Macaca fascicularis: one gene and its partner. The protein of the gene in region 1 interacts with the protein of each later gene in a biochemical or structural test. Links are inferred from orthologs where the notes say so. Each region holds a gene or a part of one and is shown on either strand. Other genes may lie near its edges.

What was found.
Region 2: the proteins of NEK2 (region 1) and PPP1CC interact in far-western blotting, tested with the Homo sapiens proteins (2 studies listed by BioGRID and IntAct). The link is inferred for Macaca fascicularis from reciprocal best matches to the Homo sapiens genes NEK2 and PPP1CC.

The regions. Positions count from the first base shown.
Region 1 is NC_088375.1:69,478,755-69,482,391, reverse strand, and holds part of NEK2 (serine/threonine-protein kinase Nek2), read left to right. Parts: intron 1-144; coding exon 145-364; intron 365-2,241; coding exon 2,242-2,367; intron 2,368-3,637. UniProt on the Homo sapiens protein: Protein kinase which is involved in the control of centrosome separation and bipolar spindle formation in mitotic cells and chromatin condensation in meiotic cells.
Region 2 is NC_088385.1:117,624,349-117,628,745, forward strand, and holds the start of PPP1CC (serine/threonine-protein phosphatase PP1-gamma catalytic subunit), read right to left. Parts: upstream 2,819-4,397; 5' UTR 2,635-2,818; coding exon 2,580-2,634; intron 1-2,579. UniProt on the Homo sapiens protein: Protein phosphatase that associates with over 200 regulatory proteins to form highly specific holoenzymes which dephosphorylate hundreds of biological targets.

The DNA of each region.
Region 1 (3,637 bases):
TTTTTCCAAGTGTTTAAGACCTAGCCATAAAGGAGTCCTTTCTTTTGTCTTGGAAATACATATATGTCCTTTTATTGTAACTGCTGTCTTAGGAGAACTCTTCTGTTACACAATCTGATTATATACTGCGTATTTTTTCCCCAGGATTACCATCGACCTTCTGTTGAAGAAATTCTCGAGAACCCTTTAATAGCAGATTTGGTTGCAGAAGAGCAAAGAAGAAATCTTGAGAGAAGAGGGCGACAATTAGGAGAGCCAGAAAAATTGCAGGATTCCAGCCCTGTATTAAGTGAGCTGAAACTAAAGGAAATTCAGTTACAGGAGCGAGAGCGAGCTCTCAAAGCAAGAGAAGAAAGATTGGAGCGTAAGTCTGAATGGGGGTCAAAGCAAAGGAGAACTACCAAGGGGGTTATTTTGATGTGTCTGAATATCTCTTTGAGCAGAATATTTTATACATACAGATCTTATTAGAAGCTTTTAAAAATACTTGAGAAACCAAAATATGTATTGTAGATTTTTAATAATCAGGCTTGCTAGCACCTTCATGTTGGACGTCTTTCTCTGAGATCAGTTGCTAGTTATATAATATTGGGCCTTAACAGTGATGGCCTTATACTTTATTGTAGAGTTACTTTTTTCTTTTTCATCTCTACTATGAATACCCTAATGTTTTCCCACTGTAAAGGAAGGTCTTAAAATTGCTGCTTTCCATAATAAAAACCATGACTTTTGTCTTTTGAAATGGCCACTCCAACAGAATTCCAGGTCTAAAACCCTACAGTATGTAGATGAGATATGTTCAGGCAATTCTTTTCTTTTTTTTTAACTTTTTATTTTTGAAAATGAGATGGGGTCTCACTATATTGCCCAGGCTGGTCTTGAACTCCTGAGCTCAAGCAATCCTCCCACCTTGCCTCCCAAAGTGCTGGAATTACAGGTGTGACCTACCACACCTGGTCTGTTCAGGCAATTCAATAGAGAGTCTAGATACAAGATATTTTAAGTCTATAAATAATACTCTGGTGGGTATTAACGTTAACTTACGAGTATTAACTGATTAGGTGTTAATTTAGTTTTGATGTTGAAAGTGTATCTACTCCACCAAGATGAGAGCTACTAGCAATCATTTAGGGTTACGCAAGGTAGCTACAGAGTGAGGTTCTTCATTTTAACATCAGGAGATGAGAGATGGGTCATATTTGTCACCTGTCACCCTCATGACTCACCTGATTTTACTTCTGCAGCTTTATACCTAATCCAGGCTTTAAATAATGAAATACTCTATAGTCCTGTGAGATATGCTTACTGTATAGGTACAACCTATACTTACATAGAAACCTCTGTAAAAAATAAGAAAACTTTTTCTTATAACTTTCCCCAGTGTTTCATAATTTCTTTTCTTTTCTTTTTTTTTTTTTTGAGATGGAATTTCACTCTTGTTGCCCAGGCTGGAGTACAGTGGCACCATCTTGGCTTATTGCAACCTCTGCCTTCTGGGTTCAAGCAGCTCTCCTGCCTCAGCCTCCTGAGTAGCTGGGATTACAGGCGCCTGCCACCATACCTGGCTAATTTTTGTATTTTTTAATAGAGATGGGGTTTTGCCATGTTGACCCAGCTGGTCTTGAACTCCTGACCTCAGGTGATCCACCTGCCTTGGCCTCCCAAAGTGTTGGGATTATAGGTGTGAGCCACTGTGCCCAGCCATAATTTCATATAGCAACTGAAATCTGAATACTTTCTGAATTTTGGGCCATGAATAAATAGTAACCTTTGTTATTAATACTAATCCTATGAACTACCGCCTAACTGAATTGCATTTTTTTTTTCTTTTATTTGAGTGTGGTCATTCAACCAGAAAAAAAGAAGATTTTTGTACTGTGAGGCCAGATCATGTCCTGAAAATTAGCTGTTGCCTATCTTCAATGAAGAGCAGAGATAGCTTTAGTTTTTTGTTTTCCCAATTGAGTTACTCCCACAAAAGATGACCAAAGGTTGAAGCTAACTTTGTATTTGTTTAAACAAGTCCTTTCAAGAAAATCTAAGATAAACATACAGCCTACTAAAACACTCAATTAAAAACTAACACAATCAGTTTGACTGAGGCATAGTGAGAATCCTTTCCCCAAACATTGCTTATCAGTATCAAGCATGCTAGTAGTGATAAGATTGCCAAATGTAAATCGTTTTTTAGTGAAGGTCACTTGTTAATTTTTTTTTTCTTTGTCCATTCTCTTTTTAAAGAGAAAGAACAGGAGCTTTGTGTTCGTGAAAGACTAGCAGAGGACAAACTGGCTAGAGCAGAAAATCTGTTGAAGAATTACAGCTTGCTAAAGGAACAGAAGTTCCTGTCTCTGGCAAGTAGTCCAGGTATGAGAATCAACTTGGTCAACAGAAGCTGGTGCTACAAATGAAGAAATGTGCACCAGTGTTGCTCCCAAAGTGGCTTAGGTAGCCCTTTTCATTTACAAAGTCTCAAATTTTAAGATGGATTTCATTGAATATATGCATTTCAATGGAAACAAAATTCTGTTATAGCAATGATTTATTTCCTGGGTTCATAGACCTGAGGCAATGAGTCACAGAATTTCATGTTTGATTTTCTTAACCTTATCAAACCACATGTTTAGTAATTGATACTTATTAATATTATTATTATTATTATTATTTTCTGAGATGGAGTCTCGCTCTGTTGTCCAGGCGGGAGTGCAGTGGCGCGATCTTGGCTCACTGCAAGCTCCGCCTCCCGAGTTCACGGCATTCTCCTGCCTCAGCCTCCCGAGTAGCTGGGACTACGGGTGCCCGCCACCACGCCTGGCTAATTTTTTGCAATTTTAGTATAGACGGGATTTCACTGTGTTAGCCAGGATGGTCTCAATCTCCTGACCTCATGATCTGCCCACCTCAGCCTCCCAATGTGCTGTGATTACAGGCATGAGCCACCATGCCTGGCTGATACTTATTTTTTAAAATTAGGGCATTTACAAAACTATTGTGTGTTTTAGATTTCAGAGAGATAAACTGCATTTCAAGTAAAAATCAAAATTTTAATACTGCCATGCCTCATCTTTCATAGAAAGCATGTCTTAAAAGGCATGATAAGCCACCTGCAGAATAGGCTGTCACGTTTGGATCTTTGCTAACACCCTTTCAAGCTGAAACACATATTTGTGGAAATTTCATTGTTTAATATCTACATATGTTCTCTGCATTTTCTTCTTTATTTAAAGTCTGGTATATAGATGTTCAGCTTTCTCAGGGTCCTGCCTTTGTGTGGCGTTGTCCCTTCACTCTGCCACACTGAGATGTGGTTATCGTATATACCAGTGAACCATTGTCTAACATTCTCCATTTTATAGAAACCTCTCAATCTAATTCAGTTGACTCTATGTAAAATGCAAACTGTGAAACATCTTTTTGCTTGATTTCTTTAGGGCACAAACTAACTGTTAAAAGTTGTTGGTTTAAAAAATCGAGCATCTGAATTTTCAATAAAATTTAGAGTTTTTTTTAACTCCCTTATTCCATGTAGGACAGCATATATGAAAGCTATTATTCTTATCTTTAATAAATTGAGATATGATCAATTTAGTGAGTATTGGCAGCATTTTGTAAATGGAACAGACAAAAAACCCTACTT
Region 2 (4,397 bases), on another chromosome or scaffold:
CAACATGCTGTTTTTCTTAAGACTTCACTTTTCAGTTAGCTTTTTAGTACTATTACTGAGCTACTTCTCAACTAGCTTATACTGCTCTCAAGCTTAAAAGATCAATTCTGAACACGTGAAAAAGTCTACCAAGGTCACAAAAGTCGTATTGCCTCTACTTTCAGATATACTTACATCTTAAAGCATTTAAGGGGAAAAAAAAAAAGGTTTTGGGGGCATTACGAAAAGCACAAAATTCAGGCCGGGCATGGTGGCTCATGACTATAACCCCAGAACCCAGGGAGGCCGAGGTGGGAGGATTGCTTGAAACCAGGAGTTTGAGAACAGCCTGGGCAACACAGTGAGACTCTCATTTCTATTTTAAATTATTACATTTAATTTTTTTAAAATAAAAAACTTGTAAAGCACAGAATTTATTACCAACATCATTTAACTTAGATATCTACATATCCTCAATGGATCATCTTCAAATGTTTCTCTGCCAATTTAACACCCACGAGAAAAAAGGAAATTTAAGTATACTTTGCAGTTAGCCTATTCCCAAGGCATTAAAATGCACTGCTTTATTAATTTCAGCAAAAAAAGAAATATAAGAAAACCTGGTTTTCAAGTGCCATATAACAAGAGGAACTATTAAGAAACAATGATCTCATTTTAGATGTATCATTATTTACTAGGCAAACTACTTATTAGGATTGTAATGATTAAAATTAACAAAAGCTATTTATGAATACAGAGGCAGTTATGGGCAAACCAGAACTTAAATTAGCAAGCCTTAGATGATCTTAAAATTCTAATTTAATTAGATTTAAAATTCTAATGTTTCTAATCCATGCAAATTCCAACTTTTCCTGTTTCCTCAGAGAAATAAAGCCACACATATCCCTGCAGAGATAAGCAGAATTTTAAAATTTAGAAAGAAAATATTTAACAAAAAATTCTTTTCTTACAGCAAACTATTTTAATCAGTTTCTGACCAACTGCTGCCTCAAATAAAGAACTATATTAACTAGCATGAAAAAATATGGTTCTTATATAAATACCTGACATTAAAGGAATGACAAGGTTTTCACCTACAACACAAGGTTTTCACCTGCAATAACATTTCAAGAGCATTTCAGGGGTCCTTAATGACATTTAGTGTTTTTTTTAAAGACAGCATAAAAGGAAAGAATGCACAGATTAAGAAAAGGACGAGATATTTTCAGAGTTTCATTTTAATAACTTACTTTAAAAGATCTGCAAATTCTAACACTAGAGCTGTCATGCCCTCGACTCCACCACTCACAGCATTTATAGTCCAGTAATATTTTAGGACTATATAAAGGCAAAAAGCAGTTAAAACTGCCAAGTTCCCATTATGAAGTGTCCAAGTTAAGGGGTATGACTGAATTCTTACAAAGTCTTGGATAAGATGTTAGCATCTGTTGACATGCCCTTGAATCTGAAAGCAGCTCATTTCAGCTTCCGTCTTTAAAAGCTGAACCTCGCCCCTCTCCCACATCAACATGAATCAATTGCCAGGCACCTCACCAGTCTTAGATGAGCCGAAATTTAAACCTTTCTATTAACCTTTACTAAACCACTGGCCCCCTTCCTTCAGTGTTGTCTGTAGCGAGTTTTACTAGCTCCTGGCTATCTGGGTTTGAAACCCAATTCACTAACTGTGTGACCTTGGTTAAGTGACTTCATCTCAGTTTCTTCTGTAAAATAACAAAAACAACAAAAAAAAAATGCAAATATCTTGCAATGGGTGGGAGAATATGAAATCTGTGTTAAGTGCTCAAAGAATGCTTGACACACAGTAAGCCCTTTAGAAGCGCCAGTTATGATTATTACAGTAATAATTTCATGGACGCAAAGTGCTCAAGACAGAGCCTGGCACATTGGAAAGATAACGATACCGTCAGCCTTGCTGACTTCCTGTTCAGATGCACGTTCAGGAAAAGAGCGCGGAGACCTCTCCAAGATTAGAATAACTTAAAACGATTTGGAGGGCAGGCGAAGACAGGTTCTCACACCTCTTGAGACATGAACGCTTGTTACCAAGTAACAAGAAATGGGCCCCCCAAGACCCCAGAACCACGAAAAATAAAAGCAAGCAGGAAAAGAGCCCCCAAACCCGGTGGAACTCACGCCCTCATCAAACTGCCTTCCGTGAGGACGAGCACCGAAAAGTCCATCTCGCACAGTACGGCGCACGCCGTCCAGGAGGCTGGACTGGGGCCCCCAGCCCAACAATCGCTCCAAAGACCCGTCTGGTGTGCGGGGGCAAACGGGTAGAGGCGGGAAACATGGGGGTGGGGAGCGGAGTTTTCAAATTCCACGGCCGGGAGAAAGCCTGCATCCTCGTGCAATGAATGAGTGGAGCCTGGAGGGTCCGCGGCTGGCGACAAGTTGGGGATCCCGGGCTGGCCTCCCTCCAGCTGCAGCCCCCGGCCCGTGGGCCAACTCGAGAAGCTCACTTCCCACGGTGCTGCAAGCCCAACCGGCCTCCCAACTCCCCTCCCTCGAGCCCCCGGGGCCGCCTGCCGCCCTCGGGCCCGCCTCCCCCTTCAGCCGCCCGCCGCCCCCCTTACCTTCCAGCAGCCGTTGGATGATGCTGTCGATGTTGAGTTTGTCTAAATCCGCCATCGCCTTCCCACCGCCGACCCTCCCGCAGCGGCGCCGCCGCCGGCTCGCGCCCGGGACTCACACCTCCTTTCCCACGCCACGAGCAGAGGCGGTGGTGGCGGCGGTGGCAGCAGCCGCGGCGGGTCCCCCCCCTGCCGCCCCGCTCCCTGCTTCCTCCTTCTCTCCCCACTGGAACCACGAGAAGAACAAAATGGCCGCCGACTCCTTAGACAGCCTCGGGCGGCGCACGGATGCGCGCGGGGAGTGCAGCGGCCCGGCCGGGACTTCTTTATGGGCCATAGGGCGCGCGGGAGGGGGCGGGGCCCGGGCGCGGGAGGGGGCGGGGCCAGGGCGCGGGGCGGGGCGGAGATGGTTGAGCGCAACTGCGTCCACGCGCGGGATCCTTCCGCCAAACGGGCCGAATAAATAGGCCCGCCCCCGACAGCGGGCCCGAGAGTGAGTTGCAAAGTTGCATGCGGGAGTTGGGGCTGGGGGAGGAAATGCAGCTGTGCATACTGCCGGTTGCGGCCATCGCCGGATCTTGTACGTTGAGGCTAGACGTTTGCAGACCTGGCCATGTGGGAACTCACCGAGGGATTTCGGGGGTCCTGGAATTTACCCTTTAAGATAAATCTGGGGTGAGGATGGAAAAGGAGAATAATAAATAAAAGAAGGTTGACTTATTTTGGATTAAGATATACTGGAACTTGGGAGAAGAGAAAGGTTTATTTGGTAACTAAAAAGAAAAAACCCTCTTCGAGATAAGTCAAAATGTAAGTTACTCTTTGTGAGTGGTGGGTGTATGGGTATTTGTATATATATATTTTTGTGCACTTCTGTAACTTTACTTTGGAGGTAAAAAATCCGTCCATAAAGAAAATTTCATCATTTCTCTCCCTTGGATTTCTCTTTCCTGAACTCGGAAAGTTATATAATCATCGGGACGGTTATCCCGATTCTAGCCAGGGCGAAGTTGAACGAGCGCGTGCAGCAGTTGAAAGGGGAATTTGCAGATTTCACGCGTGCAGGCCAGGGGCGGGAAGAGAAGAGGCAAGCTGTGCGGGCGGTCCTGGGTTCTGCAGATACCCGAAGAAACTTTGGCCCATTCCTCTCTGGCTTCCCAGCCTCCCCGAGTGCACGCCTATCCAAGGGGTCCCCAAACTGTGCCACCTCCAGGGGCTGCGCATCGACTTTGGCCGCGTTTAGAAGTACAGCCCACACTCAGCAAACAGATCGGCTCTCTTTCCTGACCTTTCCATGTATGTTGCTTCCTGCAGCGCTTTACATTTTGCAAAGCCCTGTCTCTCCGAGAAATTCATTTTGTTTCCCAATGAATGCAGGATGCACGAATCCCCATCTCAGTATGCCACGAGGTAATTGCACCACCCAGGCATCCTCTTCCAAAGCAATATCCTCAGGGTGAGGGCTCCATGTCCCCTCAGTTGGGCCCCCTCGCTACTGGTGCAGGGCCCTTGAGTTTAAGAACTCAGCCTCTCGATCCACTTTCCTCAGGCACCAACTCACTTTCCCCTGCTACAGCTCTGTCCACCAGAAGTCACATAAGTGCCATTTGTCAGGGCAAGGCAATGAGCCCAGCTGGTGACATTTGGAGTTGGTGCCCAGCGCTGCTGTGAACATCTGACTGTGGAGGTCAGGGTGGCTCTTGCTGGAGTCCACAGGACTTTGGGCTACTCCAGGGCAGGGCGCATCATCGGAATGGCATTTAGAGTAGAAATATGAAAGACAGCAATTCATTCAGCAGACAAATATTTATGGAGTACCCA